Linked DNA regions of Sus scrofa. The protein of the gene in region 1 interacts with the protein of each later gene in a biochemical or structural test. Links are inferred from orthologs where the notes say so. Each region holds a gene or a part of one and is shown in the gene's direction. Other genes may lie near its edges.

Region 1 (5,664 bases):
AACATGTATGAAACTGTTAACCCCAAATATAAGAAGGAGGGACTAGATATACCTGAAACTAACACAACCTTGTAGGTCAACTGTTCTCCAATAAAATTTATTTTAAAAAAATTTAAAAAGGAGGGAGTGGAATATTGGGAAGGAGGCTCTGGTGTATCTGCGTAAATATCTGAATGAGACAGCGTAGAATGTTTAGATATAAATAAGATAGATGGTGGTATAAAATTTTTCCATACCTCTTTATATCCTTAAAATACTTCATTAAAAATAATCATTGTGCCAATTCCAATACTGTATTCTAGAGATTTTTTTTTTCCTCTAGGATTAATAAGGATGACCAACCCTGCCACTGTTATGATACCCCAGGGTGGAAACATGTCATCTTCCATGATGGCACCAGGCCCCAATTCAGATCTACAGCCCAGGACTCCTCGCCCTGCTTCTCAGTCAGGTATTGACCTCCAGACTCTGCGAATTGAAGAGGCTGGACCTCCCTGCACAGATTACAAAATTCATCTGTGTCTGATGCCAAATTCCTAACTCCCCAGCTTAAATGCCATCCTTTTTATAAAATCTACCATAGTTTCTTCAAACTGAAATTCACCATTTCCTTCTCAGAATTTCTTCTCAGAGTTTCTCATTATTCTCTTATGGGTTATACCCCATCCTTCCTAAAAAATGTATTCCTTGACCTGCTTAGTCTTGCTATTCCATGACCTAGAATTCTAGTGAAGCAAATTTGGTTAATGTATTCTACTCGATCCTCCCTCCCAGAGATTCAAAGTTTAACATATTGGAGGCACTGAAAGTCCTACAGTGAAGAAACCAGTGTTTCCCAAACCTGATTGACTATATTATTTGTTTTCTTAAAACTCTAATGAACATAGTTCCTCAGAATATGCTTTGGAAAATATTGCTCTCTATATTTAATGTTTGACTCTTATATCCACTTTAAAATTAAAAGCTCTTTTTAAATAAGATTTGTCTTTCTATCATCCTGGCAGTGGATTTGCATATAGTAAATGCTCATGAACATTTCATTGAATGGTACCAGCAGATTTTACTGTATATTTGCAGAATTGCCAAGACTACTGCTCTGGGATCTAGGTTGTAGTAAATTAATTATTGCTTTGTTGACTATCTTTAAACAGATGCAATGGATCCACTCCTCTCTGGGCTCCATATACAGCAGCAAAGTCATCCCTCAGGATCTTTAGCTCCCCCACACCACCCAATGCAGCCTGTCCCTGTGAACAGACAAATAAATCCAGCTAATTTTCCCCAGCTGCAGCAGCAGCAGCAACAGCAGCAGCAGCAGCAGCAGCTGCAGGCAAGACCCCCACAGCAACATCAGCAACAACAGCCACAGGGAATTCGACCCCAATTTACTGCCCCAACTCAGGTGCCTGTTCCTCCAGGCTGGAATCAGCTGCCTTCGGGAGCCCTTCAGCCTCCTCCAGCCCAGGGTTCTCTGGGCACAATGACTGGAAATCAAGGGTGGAAGAAGGCTCCCTTGCCTGGCCCAATGCAACAGCAACTCCAGGCAAGACCATCCTTAGCCACGGTACAGACACCTTCCCACCCTCCCCCTCCATATCCCTTTGGCAGCCAGCAAGCCTCACAAGCCCATACAAACTTTTCTCAGATGAGCAACCCAGGCCAGTTCACAGCTCCTCAGATGAAGAGCTTGCAGGGAGGACCCTCTCGGGTCCCAACCCCCCTGCAGCAGCCCCACCTCACCAACAAGTCTCCTGCCTCCTCGCCCTCCTCCTTCCAGCAGGGATCCCCTGCATCCTCCCCAACAGTTAACCAAACTCAGCAGCAGATGGGACCAAGGCCACCTCAAAATAACCCACTTCCCCAGGGATTTCAGCAGCCTGTCAGCTCTCCAGGTCGGAATCCTATGGTTCAACAGGGAAACGTGCCACCTAACTTCATGGTGATGCAGCAGCAAGCACCAAATCAGGGGCCACAGAGTTTACATCCAGGCCTAGGAGGTGAGGAACACTGAAGCTGTTTGTGTTGGTGAATTTACTGGAGATAGATCTTAGTAGAACTTCAATTTTTAGAGTTAATTGAGGGTAGTGTAATAAGGATGTAATTATTTGTTTCTGTGGATGCAGTGATGGCATTTGATTATATAACTTAGTTAACTTGATGCATGATGCAGCATCTTACTGGTTATGTTTAAGCTAGCCCTCTGGATAAAAACAGGTAAAATTCAATATAGAGATGTTCATTTTCTTTTTCAAAATATTTTTGCTTGATCTTGTAGTAGTAAGTTAAAACATCCAGAAGAAACATGAGTTTATTAACAACTTAAGCTGCTCAGCTGTTGAAAAAATTAAGATTATGTAATAGAGCAAAAATGAAAAGATAAGTATAGGGTTTGTTGGGGAAAAGGCCCGTCTAGCTTTCAATTTTGATAATCCTGGTTAGTAGATAGCGTGGTATTTGTTAAATTTGATTAAAGTATTAAAGGGGAATAAGTTCAGGAATCATTGACTTTTATAGTTTTATAATGCCAATGCCTGCTCCTTAGAGAGGGAATTCCACCAGTTATACCTAAAGGAGATTTATTTATTTATTTTGTAAGGTGCCTCTTGTATGAAGAAAAAGCAATGGAGCTTAATGTGTGAGAGGTAAAACGATTACAGTAAAACTTATCCATCTCCATGTTTATTATTTATTCTTATTAATCATTGATCTAGTGCACATGAATGTGCTTGGAGCTTTTCAGTAAGGTATAGAGAGTATCAGGAATACTATCATCTGATAAACATACCCCCACCAAAAGACACCCATTGCCTACCCAGAAAAAAATCCTTGCATCTTTAGTGCAACATAGCAAAGGCATGTTCCCATGATTTCTGGTAAAATTAAGTTGCTCATCAGTCTTTTCACTCTCTTGTAATTACTTTTACTGACATGCAGGCTATAATATTTGAATCCTAAGAAGTTTTTAGAAAATGCAAGAATATTTCAGCTCCAAACTTCACTGTTCTGGGCAACTAGCCTTGGATCAGTGGAAGCTGGGTAGTCTCTCCTGCAAATGTGATTACTGATTTAACTACAATGGAAGCATGTAAATGGGGACTTGTCACTGCTAAAGAAAGGACAAATGCATATTTGTCTACAGAGCGTTTTTCAGGACATTGAAAATTTGGCCCTTAAGTAAATGGACTAACACAAAAAAATTTTAAGTGAGCTTTAGGTCTTGATGCTTTCATAGAGCAAATGATATGCTCACCTAGGTGATCTGGCCACATCCAGGCCTGTTATAAACAGTGAGTGGATTCTGAGATTCTTATTACAATTTTGTTTTCTTAAATTAAACCTTCCTATGAAAGAAAGTATTACTTTAGTAAGATTCTGTTCAAGCAGTTTTTGGTACTATAGCTGTCAGAATTGCAGCAAACCATTTGAGGGGAAGGTGTAATGATAAATTTAACATATCGTCACTTTGACATTCCTTTGAATTATTTCTAATCTCTTGTCTCTTCCAAAGAGACAAGTACAATATTGGGGAGAAATTTTCCATAAAGAAAATTGTCATTCATTTCCCTCAATGGAGGGGAAAAGAAGTCATCTATCTATGCTTAATATCAGGACCCAGGTCTTTGTTTTATAGTATTTCTTGTCAGCTTATTTGACTATAAGAGAATTTAGCGTATTCCTTTGGTACCTGTGTTAAAGTATGTAAAGTTTTGGGGTCCATAGTATCACAGAGAAAAGTGAGCCCTAAACCTTGCTGTGACGTGGCCTCAGATCACATTTAGGGAGCAGATTGCCATCTTTTCCTTGGCATGTTCTAAGTGTAAATTTTTTAGTATTTCTTTTTCATTTTGACAATGCTCATGTAAGAGATTGTGTTGATTTTTTTAACCATCTTTCCCAACCTTATTATTAAAGATCCTACCAGTGTGACAGAGAGAGCTAAGCCAGTGGAGGCTTCATGCAGCTCATCCTTCCTTATTCATTCCACATCTAAGCAAGAGTATAAATTTGCTAGGTAACTGCCTTACTCGTTGTTTTCTATTAAGGAATGCCTAAACGCCTCCCACCTGGCTTCTCAGCAGGACAGGCCAATCCGAACTTTATGCAAGGTCAGGTGCCTTCGACCACAGCAACTACCCCTGGGAATTCAGGAGCCCCTCAGCTGCAAGCAAATCAAAATGTCCAGCATGCAGGTTTGTTTTTGTGATTTATTCAGCAAGCATTTATTGAGCATTGTGTGGACCACAAGGATATACAGAGAAATATAAGTCCTAGTTCTTCCTCTTAGTTTCGGACCTATAAATAATTATTCTTTCAGGGCAATAACTGACATATCAAAAGTAGGTAGAATGTCTCGAAAATCTAGAAACACCTGAAGAAAGGAGATGAAACGAGGTAAAGCTGGGGTTAGCAGGGTTTTTTGGGGGTTTTTTTGTTTGTTTGTTTTTCTTTTCCTGAAATGAACCAAATAGTAAATACTTTAGGCTTTGCAGGTTGTATGTTCTCTGTTGCAGTTACTTAACTTTGTTCTTGTAGCACCAAAGTAGCCATAGACAATACGTGAATGAATGAGCATGGCCGTGTTCCAAACACTGTTTATTTACAAGCTGGCAATGGCAATGGATTTGGCCCATGGCCATAGTTTGCTGACCCCTGAGTTAGTGAATGGACACTAAAGAAAGTGTTTCTGGAGTTCCCATCATGGCTCAGCAGAAACAAATGTGACTAGCATCCCTGAGGACGCAGGTTCGATCCTTGGCCTTGCTCAGTGGGTTAAGGATCTGGCATTTCTGTGAGCTGTGGTATAGGTCGCAGACGCGGCTCAGATCCCACATTGCTGTGACTGTGGTGTAGGCCAGCAGCTACGGTTCCCATTCAGTCCCTAACCTGGCAGCCTCCACATGCCAGGGGTGCAGCCCTCAAAAAAGACAAAAAAAAAAGAAAGAAAGAAAGAAAATGTTTCTGACAAAGGAAGTGATAGGTACAAAGGCATGAAGGCACATGGCATTTTGAACAAATACAACTTTTAAAATTTCTTTGTAGTACATGTTAACTTTGTTTTTATGTTCAGTGTCTGAACTCTGGTTTATAGTGTGGTGTTTAAAGACCAGGATTTAATCAATACAGATTAAATGTCAACAATGTGTTGAATATAAGAAGAAACTTAGGAGGACAAAGAGTATAGAACCAGAATGACTAAAAAGTATTTGTAAAACAATATTGGATAAGCCCAGACTTCATGTTTCTGATTGCTCAGGTACCACATGACTAATCTTCTTACGCTTTCTCATTCAGGCAGTTTGGACTGAGATAGCACATATATTATTTGAACTTGCATCCCCACTTGGAGGTAGTTTTGTGATTCCAACTTTAAGTGTACATCTCTAAGGAAGGAGAATAGTTTTAAACTTTTATTTATTTGTTTGTTTGTTTTGCCTTTTTGTCCTTTTTTGGGCCAAACCCATGGCATATGGAGGTTCCTAGGCTAGGGGTCTAATTGGAGCTGTAGCCACTGGCCTACACCACAGCCACAGCAACGTCAGATCTGAGCCATGTCTTCAAACTACACCACAGCTCATAGCAACACCGGATCCTCAACCCACTGAGCAAGGCTAGGGATCAAACCCGCAACCTCATGCTTAGTAGTTGGATTCGTTTCTGCTGCGC
Region 2 (5,764 bases), on another chromosome or scaffold:
TGCCCAGGCCCTGCGGGGGGCCGCTGGTGTTCCCTGCCTGGCCCAGGCCCGCCAGCCACTGCTGACACCCATTCCCCACAGCCTGGCCCACTTCGCCTGCCCCCAGGGCCCGCTCCGCAGGGCTGCCCCTCTCAGCATGCCCACTCCTGTGCCTGCCTCCTCCCCTCCCCGGGGGCGCTGGGGCCTCAGGCTGGCGAGTGGATTTTTCCAGCTTCTGTAAACAAGTGGTGGCAGCATGCCAGGTGGGCAGGAGACAGGCGGGGGCAGCACCACAGCCAGGGTGTGCTAAGCACTGAGGCACAGCCTTGGGGCTGGGGGGAGACACCCAGACCCGAGGGGGAGAGAGAGAGAGACATTCAGATGCAGAAGGACCTGACCAAAGGCAGCCTCCCGGGGCAACAACGAAGAGCGAAGGGGAAACAGAGGCGACAGAAAATAGTCTTCTGTTGTCCAGCCCCACCCCCGCGACAGCCCCAGGGCCCCCCTACCCCTCACTGCTCTGGCCGAGAGCAGCCCGGCCCGGCCCCGGTGCCCAGGCCCTGGGCATCCCCACCCATTCTGTCTCCCCCACCTCCACCCCTCAGGGCTGGCTACGCCATTATAAATTTATAACAGGAATTTCTCCACAAGCCAAGAAAAACTTGACCTACTTTCTTGACGGCTCCCTGGGCTTAGGCTCCCCGCTCGCACACCCCCCCCCCACCAGTGTCTCCTGTCCGGCCCCCAGTGCCCGGTCCTGGTCGGTGCGAGGATCAAAGGCAGAATGGACCACGCTTCTGCACTCTTGCCGGGCTCCCCAGGCGGGGGGCTGGCCTGAGCGCAGAGGCCCTGTCCCGCTCCCGCTCCCGCCGGCCCTGCCCAATGGCCTGGCTTATCTCTCCTTTCCCCTCCCATCCTGGCTCCTTATCAGTTCCTGGGGGTGGGGCCTGGGGGCCCCCGGGGCAAGGTCTCTGGGGAAGCAGCCACAGGAGGGAGGTTGTGTGTGGGGAGCTGCGCCTCTTGGCCCCTCTCACGTGCCCACACCTGCCTGGGTGGGCAGTCACCGAGCCTCAGGTGTGTAGCCTAGGGTCAGAGGTGCAAACCTGGAGGGAATGGTCGGCCCAGGTGGGCGGTGCCCTGGACCCCAGCTGGCAGAACAAAGCTAGCATTGGCGGCAGGCTGTTTGCAAGCTGTGTGAACTTGAGTGAACGGGCAAGCTTTCCGAGGCTTCTTTTTCTCACCTGCGAAGTTCTGATGCCCACCTGGGTGGACATATACTCTCTATTCCCTTAATGCCTGTTGGTTTCCTCTCGCCCTCCCTGTCCATCCCAGTGGGTGGCAGCTCAGCTAAACCAACTGGGAAGTCTGGTCCTCAGACTGGGAAGTGTGACTTGGGACCTTGTATGGGAAGCTCCTTGGGGGGCCGGGGTTGGAGAGGCCTAAGTCGGCCAGCAGCAGGGGAGGTCGGCTGGCTGCTCTTTTCAGCATCCCTCTCCATTGAGGCCCTCAGGTGGGCGCTCACACTTCCTTCACCGGGACCCCCCCCATGCCTGGGCTGAATGAAAGCTGCTCATCTCTGGTCACTTCTTCTTCTTCTTTTTTTTTTTAAGGGCCACACTCTCAGCACATGGAGGTTCCCAGGCGAGGGGTCCAATCGGAGCTCCAGCTGCCGGCCTCCACCAGAGCCACGGCAACACGGGATCTGAGCCGCGTCTGCGACCTGCACCACAGCTCACGGCAACACCGGGTCCTTAACCCACTGAGTGAGGCCAGGGATCGAACCCGCCTCCTCATGGATCCCAGCCGGGATCGTTAACTGCTGAGCCACGGAGGGAACTCCATCTCTGGTCACTTCTTTCCCTGTGATACTAACGACACCTTGGCTGAGGGGTGGTAACAAGGGCTGATGTGTAATAGACGCGTATGAAGGGGCCAGGCCCTTGCTTGACTGTGAGGCTTGAGACGTGCTACGTGGATTACCTCATTCTTTCCCTCCATCCCTTTCCATGTCTGGGGACCGGGATGTGAATCTCCAGCCTTGCCTGCTGTCTGTCGAGCCGAAGGGCTTCCCGGTCCTCTCCCGATGCCTGCCCTCCCTCCATGCCTACCACCATCTCGTGATAAGCCCCAAGAGCCCAAAATGTTGGCGCCGAAGGAATCCTATTCACCTCCTCCCACCACGGCGCCGCCTTATCCCTGCCTCTCTCCTCTCTCTGCAGGGACCTCCGGACAGGACAAGATTCCGAAGCTACTCCCCCAGCCCAGGACCCCCCCCACAGACTCAGCTTGCCCCCCAGCCCTACCACCTGCCACTCCCTGGCCCCCTTCTCACCGCCCGCTCCCCCCTTGGGGTGCAGGGCATGGTGTGAAAGGCCAAGTGCTGAGGCGGGCACCATGGGTGCTGTGCCCTAGGGCCTGGGTGGCGGGGGGTGGGTGGCCTGTGGGTGTGCCGGGGGGGCCAGTGTGCCCACCCCAGTCTCTTGGCGTGCTGGAGGGCATCCTGGATGGAATTGAAGTGAATGGAACAGAAGCCAAGCAAGGTGGAGTGTGGGTCAGACCCAGAGGAGAACAGGTAATGGGTCCGGCAACTAGGTGTCGTGCAGCAGTCGCTGGGCTGGGCCAGAGAGCACTGAGCTTGGGCCTTTTAGCACCCCTGGGGGGATGGGCCTGAGGCCGGCAAGCCTGCTGCCTACCTTTGCCCAGGAGATGAGGTCATGTTCCCATGTGGCTGGGAATTAGGCACCTGGAGGGAGAGATGCCCGTTTTGAAAGGGGGAGGGCGTGCAGCACAGAGTAATTACAGGCAGCAGGCATGCGGCCCCTCCCTTGTCAGTGCTCGGAGTCTCCAATGCCCCCCAGCTTCCCCTCAGCCACCCTCACCTGAGCATGTGGAATCCAAACAGCCTGGCCATTTTCCTCCTCTCCCTCCCAGCCTCTTCACGTCTGACCACTAGTGTGAGGTCCAGAAGCCATGGTGCGTGTGACATGGCATTTCAGGGCACCATGCACCAGTAACTGTTGATCACAACTCACGCTTATATTTGGAACATATTGGGAGCCTCACAAGCTCTTCCTTGTTCATGGGCAAGGGCGGGCAATGCCATGGGGCTCCTCCCAGGAAGTGGAAGTGAATGCCAGCTCTGAAGATTTGCTCCCACGTGGAGGAAGCATCAGCCCTGCACACACAGCTGGGGATGGGTTCCCTATGATCCGCATTGCGCTTCGGGCGTCCAGAGGGTCTCTGCCTCTCCCATCAGTTCCAAGTGGCACAGAGCTCGGTCTCAGTTGGCGTGGTGCCTTGGGAGCTGGGTACAGCCTGTGCCTATGGCCAGGGAGAGGGTGGGGGAGGGGTGCTCTGGGGAGCAGTGTGGCCGTTGCCTAGGAGACCAGATCCTGAGCCAGGAGGCCGGAGGCCTGGCCAGGCAAAGCCCTGGGGCCCAAGATTGGGTCCCTGGAGGGGTGGAGGAAGTGGATGGGGCTGGCAGTTGGGTAGGGCAATGGGGGTATCCCCCCCTCCCCAAGCCTCACCCCAGGGGGGCTCTGAAAAAAGATTTGGCCTGTCATCGTGAAGCTGTCACTTGCAGCCCCTGTTCTTTCCCGCCCACACTTCCATGGGTCTGGGAGGGTCGGCTCCTAATTCAGAGAAAGGCGGGAATGCTTAGTTCCTGTCCCCCAGGACTGCAGCCCCTCCCCGTCAGCCTCCCCTCCCCCATGTCCCCGCGCCACCTTGTGGCTGTCTCTGGGACTGCACCCAGAGGCTTTGCGTCTAGCTAATTGCTAAAGACCCGCAGCTCAACTGGGCTGGGGGAGGTCCCCTACACCCACCCCCCTCCGGAGGCAGGAGGGGGAGATGTGATTCTCCAACCGGTGTAGAAACCAGACCGGGTAATCCCCAGGGGATGTAGAGCACAGAGCTCCCTGTGACTGTGACCCTGGCCAAGGTCACTGTGTCAGTGTGCTGGGAGCTGCATCAGGCTGGGGAGTCGGGGGTAGGGCCCTGCAACATGCCACACACAGGGTGGGGGCGGGAGGTTATACAATCCGTGTGTGCATGTAGAAGGCTTATGTAACCTGTGTGTGCCAAGGTTATGTAACACGTATGTGGGGAGGCTGGCGACATATGTGTGCAGGGGCTGGGGGGTTGCTAACTCCTTATTTGGCGAGGCTTGGGGTCCTTGTCGCGGCTCTGACTCTAGCACACAGTGTCACCAGGCACCAGTGGGGCCTGGGTTTACTGCTCTGTTAAATGGAGGCCGTGGACAGAGTGGCCGTGGAAGTCCCCTCCTTTTCCCATATTATACTTGGTTTAGGTTCTAGTGGGCCACTGTGGCTGTGACCTGAAAATCAAGCGACATGTTCACTGGCGGGGGGAGGGGCATGGTATTATTAGGTGCCTGTCCGGAGGGTTGTGTAACACGTGGGCATACCCTAGAGGTCATATAACACATTTGAGAAAGCCCTGAAAGTCGCATAGATAGAGATGGTAGAGCCTGCTGCTTATTTAACTGTGCTTGGGTTTAAACGGCAGGCGGCGTAGCTCTTCATATGCGCTAGTCTTACGGTGCAGATGTACGTGTGTATTCGAAAGCTTGCATCGCTTTAAGCCCGTCCTGAAGATTCTTTCTGCTTGTGTGTCATGTACTGAAAGCTTAAATAGGTGGCTATCTTAGAGACGATGGGCGCCGAAGGTCCTGTAGCGCGTGCTCATGTGTGTATATAGGTGGGGGCCCTAGATCATGCTTGTGCCCCAGCCGAGCCCCTTATCTCTCACCCAAAGCTTCTAGATAGCCAGACCTTTTCCAGTTTTGTCAGCTGACCTGGGGGTGGGAGGTAGAACGAGGACCCGAGCTGGAGGGAGTCGGGCCTGGGGGAAGACCTCAGCCTGTTGAATGAGAAGGGGGCTGCCCAAGGACTGCTCTCTGATTCTGCCCACTTTGCCCCCATCCAGTGCCAGGTCACCAGATGGAAAGCGAAAAAGAAAGAACGGCCAATGTTCCCTGAAAACCAGCATGTCAGGTGAGCCTGGCTGCGTGTGCTCTTCCTCCCCACCCTGAACCCCAGCAAACCAGGCCAGGGCTCTTCCGGGGCCTGGGCGTGCACCCGCAATTCCTGTGTCCCGTGGGAAGAGCCTCTGAGAGAGCTTGGGAAGGATGTGTCTGGGATGAGAGGGGAGATGCGAGGCGCGCCTCGCCCTTTGAGGATGGGTTTGGTCAGGAAGGGCCTCTTCCCTTCTCACGTAACCCTCTTGCCTGAGGTCCCTGAGGCCAGCTGCTGCTGGCGGGGGCTGCTCCTTCTCCCATATCCCCTGCCCCTTGGATGCAGCAAGAGAAAAGCCCTAACTGGGCAGTCGGAAGAACTGGGATTCTGGTTATCTTTAGGGAAGGGGCTGGACGAGATGACCTCTCGTGTGTCTCCAGGATTCTACCTGGAGGCCAAGAACCCTTCAGGGAAGCTGGGCCAGGGGATGGGCCAGGAAGGAAAAGCTGGGGGATGGAGAAAGCGTAGGAGCCTCTTTGCTGGGGCCCAAGCCATGCCTGCCTGCCTGCCTCCCTTCCTCCCTCCCAGGGTATATCCCTAGTTACCTGGACAAAGACGAGCAGTGTGTCGTGTGTGGGGACAAGGCAACCGGTTATCACTACCGCTGCATCACTTGTGAGGGCTGCAAGGTATGGACCAGCCAGCTCCTGCCCCTCTCCCACCACCTGAGCCCCCCCCCCATCTCGTTCCCTTTCAGTCCCTCAGCACCTGGCACCAGAGACAGCTCTATAAACATGTAACCTAAAGCC
Region 3 (4,388 bases), on another chromosome or scaffold:
AAAACTAAAAGTTAAAAAATGAATAACTAAATTGAAAACCAAGTGCAATAAAAAAAAAACAGTTGATCACTAAAAGCAAAGTTTCGCTTTTTCAAAAAGCAAAAAATAGATAAGCCTTTGGCAAATCAGATTTTTAAGTGAGAATACACAAGAAGCCTTCAGTTAAAGGGAGGTATAAATAAAAATAAAAGAGGCTATCTTGTACAAATCCATTCCAATATAAATTACTAAAATTTTACTTTGTAAGTAGTAAAAAGCCTGAATAAATTAAAAGCTATAGGAGGAAAAGTAAAGATACTCAAAGATTTACCACCAGGCTCAAATGGTTCTGCAAATGAATTCCAAAAAAAACCATCAAGGACTAGATCATCACTACATAGAAACAGAAGGAAAACTTCTCAACTCAGTCTGTAAGGCTAGTTAATATTTATTACCAAAACAGGCAAAGGATGGCACAAAAGAAGACGACTCTGGACCACTATCCCAATTTTAAAAACCCTAAATAAAATATATAGCAAATGAATGCAAGGGTATAAGAAAATCTATTAATATAATTCACTACACTAGCTTAAGATAAAACTATATGGTCAACATTTTAGGTAGAAAAACTTGAAAGCATTTGATGAAATGCAACAACATTCCTAACTAAAATTAAAACCTTTAAAACTCTGGGAGAATCTGGAGAAAAACATATCCACCATACTCTAGTAAATACCATACTTGTGGTAAACCATTAGAAGCATTTCCTTCAAGCTTAGGAATAAAATAAGAATGCTTCCCAGTACTGCTACTATTTACCGTATTAGCATTATTAGCCAATGCAGTATGGCAAAAAAAAGAAATGAGAACTATAAACACTAGAAAAAAAGAAATAAATAAAACTTATGAACAAAACAAATAATAAAAATATGATTATTTGCAGATATAATTGTCTATCCAAAAAATAATTTTTTTAACCCATGATACAAACTGTTTGATTTGAGAAGAGTTTAGGAAATTGGAATAGATTCAGTATAATAAAACCTAACTTTTTTCTAAACATCAGCAGGGATACATTAGAAAATGTAATGAAAAAGAAGTATAGAATACTAGAAAGGAAACAAGTAAAAATAAAGAATACTGGAAAGTATTTAAGAAGAAATCTAAAAAGACCTCCATGAAGAAAAAACATTAAAAATTTAAAAGTAATCTAAGCTCACCATTTAAAAGTTCAAATAAGGAAAGTATAAAGAAGAAAGTGAAATCTACCTGCATCCTCACCTGTCGAAAGAGAAGCCTCTGTTAAAACTTGGTCTATCCTTCCAAAAGTATAACAGAATTTGAAAACTATGTCTCATCTCTTTGAAAAATGCATATGCTATGTTAAGCAAAAAGAAGACAAAGTTTATTTTAAAAGTGTGTTGATCCTGCTGTTTAGCACTGGGAACTCTATCTAGTCACTTACGATGGAGCATGATAATGTGAGAAAAAAGAATGTATATGTGTATGTGTGACTAGGTCACCTTGCTGTACAGTAGAAAATTGACACAACACTGTAAACCAGCTAGAATTGAAAAAATTAAAATCATTATAAAAAAAATGAAAGTGTGTTGAAAGTTGTGGTAAGAAAATAAGATTATAAAACATAGACTCATCAGGAAGGAGCAGAAGTTAAAAATGAGATTTCTGAGTGAGTAGAAATAATGCCAGCAGAAGAATCTGCAATCTGGGAAGTGATTGCCATGCCACCACGTTCTGTCATCTGGTCACACAGATTTAGTCCTACGGGAAAAGAATGGTCTTGGAAAAAGCTCTGATAGTCTTGGGTTTTATTCCTTTTTTCTTATATGCAGTTCTTGCCAACTCTCTGCTTACCTCCCCTGCCCCCATCCTATTTTAGAACCAAAACAAAACCAACAAAAAGTCATTGGCCAGAGAATTTTATACCTAAACCTCCTGTTCTGTCTTCCATTTCTGCTCCCCCAGACCGCCCAGGTTTGCTGAATGTGAAGCCCATCGAGGACATTCAAGACAATTTGCTGCAAGCCTTGGAGCTGCAGCTCAAGTTGAACCACCCAGAGTCCTCCCAGCTCTTTGCTAAGCTGCTCCAGAAAATGACAGACCTCAGACAGATTGTGACAGAGCACGTGCAGCTGCTGCAAGTAATAAAGAAGACAGAGACGGACATGAGCCTTCACCCACTCCTACAGGAAATATACAAGGACTTGTACTAGCAAAGAAGTCCACGTTCACCGACAACATTCTCCTTCTTCCAATTGCACTATTATTTTGGGGGAAAAAAAATCTGACACCTAAAAAAAATTACTGTGAAAAAGCGTTTGAAAAAGAAAAGGTTTTAGAATAATAGATCTATTTTATGCATATTGTTTATAAAGATACATTTACAATTTACTTTTAATATTAAAAATTACCACATCATGAACTTGCTGGATGTCTTTGAAGACTGAGTCTGTTGTGTCTCCCATCACCACTCCCCAGGTATTTTTTTCCTTTTATCTCCTCCCTCTTCCTTCCTTTATTTTTCCTTTTTTCTTTCTTACAGTGTGAAACAATGTGAATGGGATTGCTGATCAATTTCCATTTTCAGTCAAGTTTTTTACTCCATTTACAATGTTTCTGAACCTTGTAACTGTTTTAAAAATCACAACTAAGCGAGGAATTTCAGGACTGAAAACTACTCAGAGCATGTGTTTCTTAACCTGGATGGACTAATGTTGACCATGTCCCTAGGCTTACCAAGAATTCAGTCTTCTTCCCCAGCCCCAATCAAGATTTTCACTCACCAACAGCAGCCCTCTAACAGGACACCAAGGCACAGACAGATACCCACTGGAGGGTATTAACTGCTAGATGCTGTAACACAAGTGGTATAAGATGTGGCACCTGCCAAAAAGAACTTATTATTGAATTGAGGGGGGAAAAAAAGATTAATTTTTCTCACAAACAGATTAATATGTACAGTATAATCCTGTGCCAAATGTATGGTTCAGACTCCAAGTGCTCTGAGTTCAAAGTAAAGATTAAGAAGATTGGAAAAGTCTTGAGTGATCATAAATTCATTCAAGTGGGCCTCAAAGGATGCGTTTTACTTGAGATAGGTAGAGAGTTGGAGAGAAGACATTCTAGGAAAGCAAAACCACAGAAACAATAGCAAAAGGAAACAAAAGCAAAGCAAAACATGAGTGAGGGAGAAGGGCCATGTTCTGGTCTCAAGCAGTTTTGCTGTACATCTTCCTGCCTTCCTTCTTGGGACCACTTTGCCCAGGAAGCTCTGACTTTTCCAATCTCAAAGCCTAATTATCCGTTTAGGGGAGGCCAGCCTCCCCAGCAACTAGATGACATGGTCCCTCAAAGCAGGAATCTTCTTGGCACAATTAATAGATTTGTTGCTTGATGCCACAAAGTTCATTAGCATTGCTTATCCATGAACACACATGGCAACTTCCAGGAAGTCCTCGTAAGCAAACCATGCTGAGGTCTCACTTGCTTGTTTCCACCAACCTAAATGATCTCCCTTCCGCTTCTCCCTGCATTTTCTCTCTCCTCGTGGCTTTGGTACTGAGAAGGACATAACCTTACATTTGAGGTTTTCAAGCCAAAATATCAAGAAAGACCTTTTCGTCCTTTACCCCCAGATAAACAGATCTCAGTTTACAGAAGTGTGTCGCGACCCTAGCCCCAAACCTGCAGGATCCCTAGCCCTTTAGAAAAGACAGCTCCTGAGCTCAAACCTCTAGAACCACAGGCACAACCACCTTATTGGGGACCATCGGACTGAGGTCGTTGTCTAAGTGACATCAGAATGTGGGCAAGGAAAGTGACCAATTCAGTACAGCATAGGGCTCTTCCTTCCTTGATGTCAAACAGCAGCATAGTTTGAAACATCCACACATCTGGCTTCGTTGCTCTTCCACGTGGAGAGTTTATCTTCCGGGGATGTTGAGAGAGCAAGAGGGTGCAGGCAGTGGACAAGGTGAGGATCCCACCTCTGAGGAGATCCCTTGTTTACAAGAGGGCTGGAACAAAGAACCTTTCAGCACGCTGCAGCCAGTCCAAACCTTCTTCATGTTCTGGGAGCTGTCGTTGCCAGCGCAGGGAGGAAGGGAGCCGCTCTCAGCTCTTTGGCACTGATGGTTAGCATTAAACAGCTTTTAAATCCTGGCAGCTTTCACATTCCCATCTCCCCGACTTTTTCCCTGTGGTTTGGACGATCATTCGCTAAATATTTTACGACACATCATGTGCAGCCTCCAGAGCTCCCGCTCCGTTCTCTGGACTCTCTTTCCCCCTGGATGATTCACCAGTTAATCAACAAATGTATCACCAGGTATTCATAGCACTTTCTCCGGACACAAACACACTTAGGGATTTGTGTTAACAAAAATAGG

The links.
Region 2: the proteins of NCOA6 (region 1) and THRA form a complex in vitro, tested with the Homo sapiens proteins (2 studies listed by BioGRID). The link is inferred for Sus scrofa from reciprocal best matches to the Homo sapiens genes NCOA6 and THRA.
Region 3: the proteins of NCOA6 (region 1) and PPARG interact in a test that uses a peptide from one of them, tested with the Homo sapiens proteins (2 studies listed by BioGRID). The link is inferred for Sus scrofa from reciprocal best matches to the Homo sapiens genes NCOA6 and PPARG.

The regions. Positions count from the first base shown.
Region 1 is NC_010459.5:38,144,634-38,150,297, reverse strand, and holds part of NCOA6 (nuclear receptor coactivator 6), read left to right. Parts: intron 1-322; coding exon 323-451; intron 452-1,151; coding exon 1,152-1,997; intron 1,998-4,043; coding exon 4,044-4,190; intron 4,191-5,664. UniProt on the Homo sapiens protein: Nuclear receptor coactivator that directly binds nuclear receptors and stimulates the transcriptional activities in a hormone-dependent fashion. Coactivates expression in an agonist- and AF2-dependent manner.
Region 2 is NC_010454.4:22,281,759-22,287,522, reverse strand, and holds the start of THRA (thyroid hormone receptor alpha), read left to right. Parts: upstream 1-2,362; 5' UTR 2,363-2,498; coding exon 2,499-2,551; intron 2,552-4,926; coding exon 4,927-4,994; intron 4,995-5,543; coding exon 5,544-5,644; intron 5,645-5,764.
Region 3 is NC_010455.5:68,431,526-68,435,913, forward strand, and holds the end of PPARG (peroxisome proliferator-activated receptor gamma), read left to right. Parts: intron 1-1,965; coding exon 1,966-2,213; 3' UTR 2,214-2,422; downstream 2,423-4,388. UniProt on the Homo sapiens protein: Nuclear receptor that binds peroxisome proliferators such as hypolipidemic drugs and fatty acids.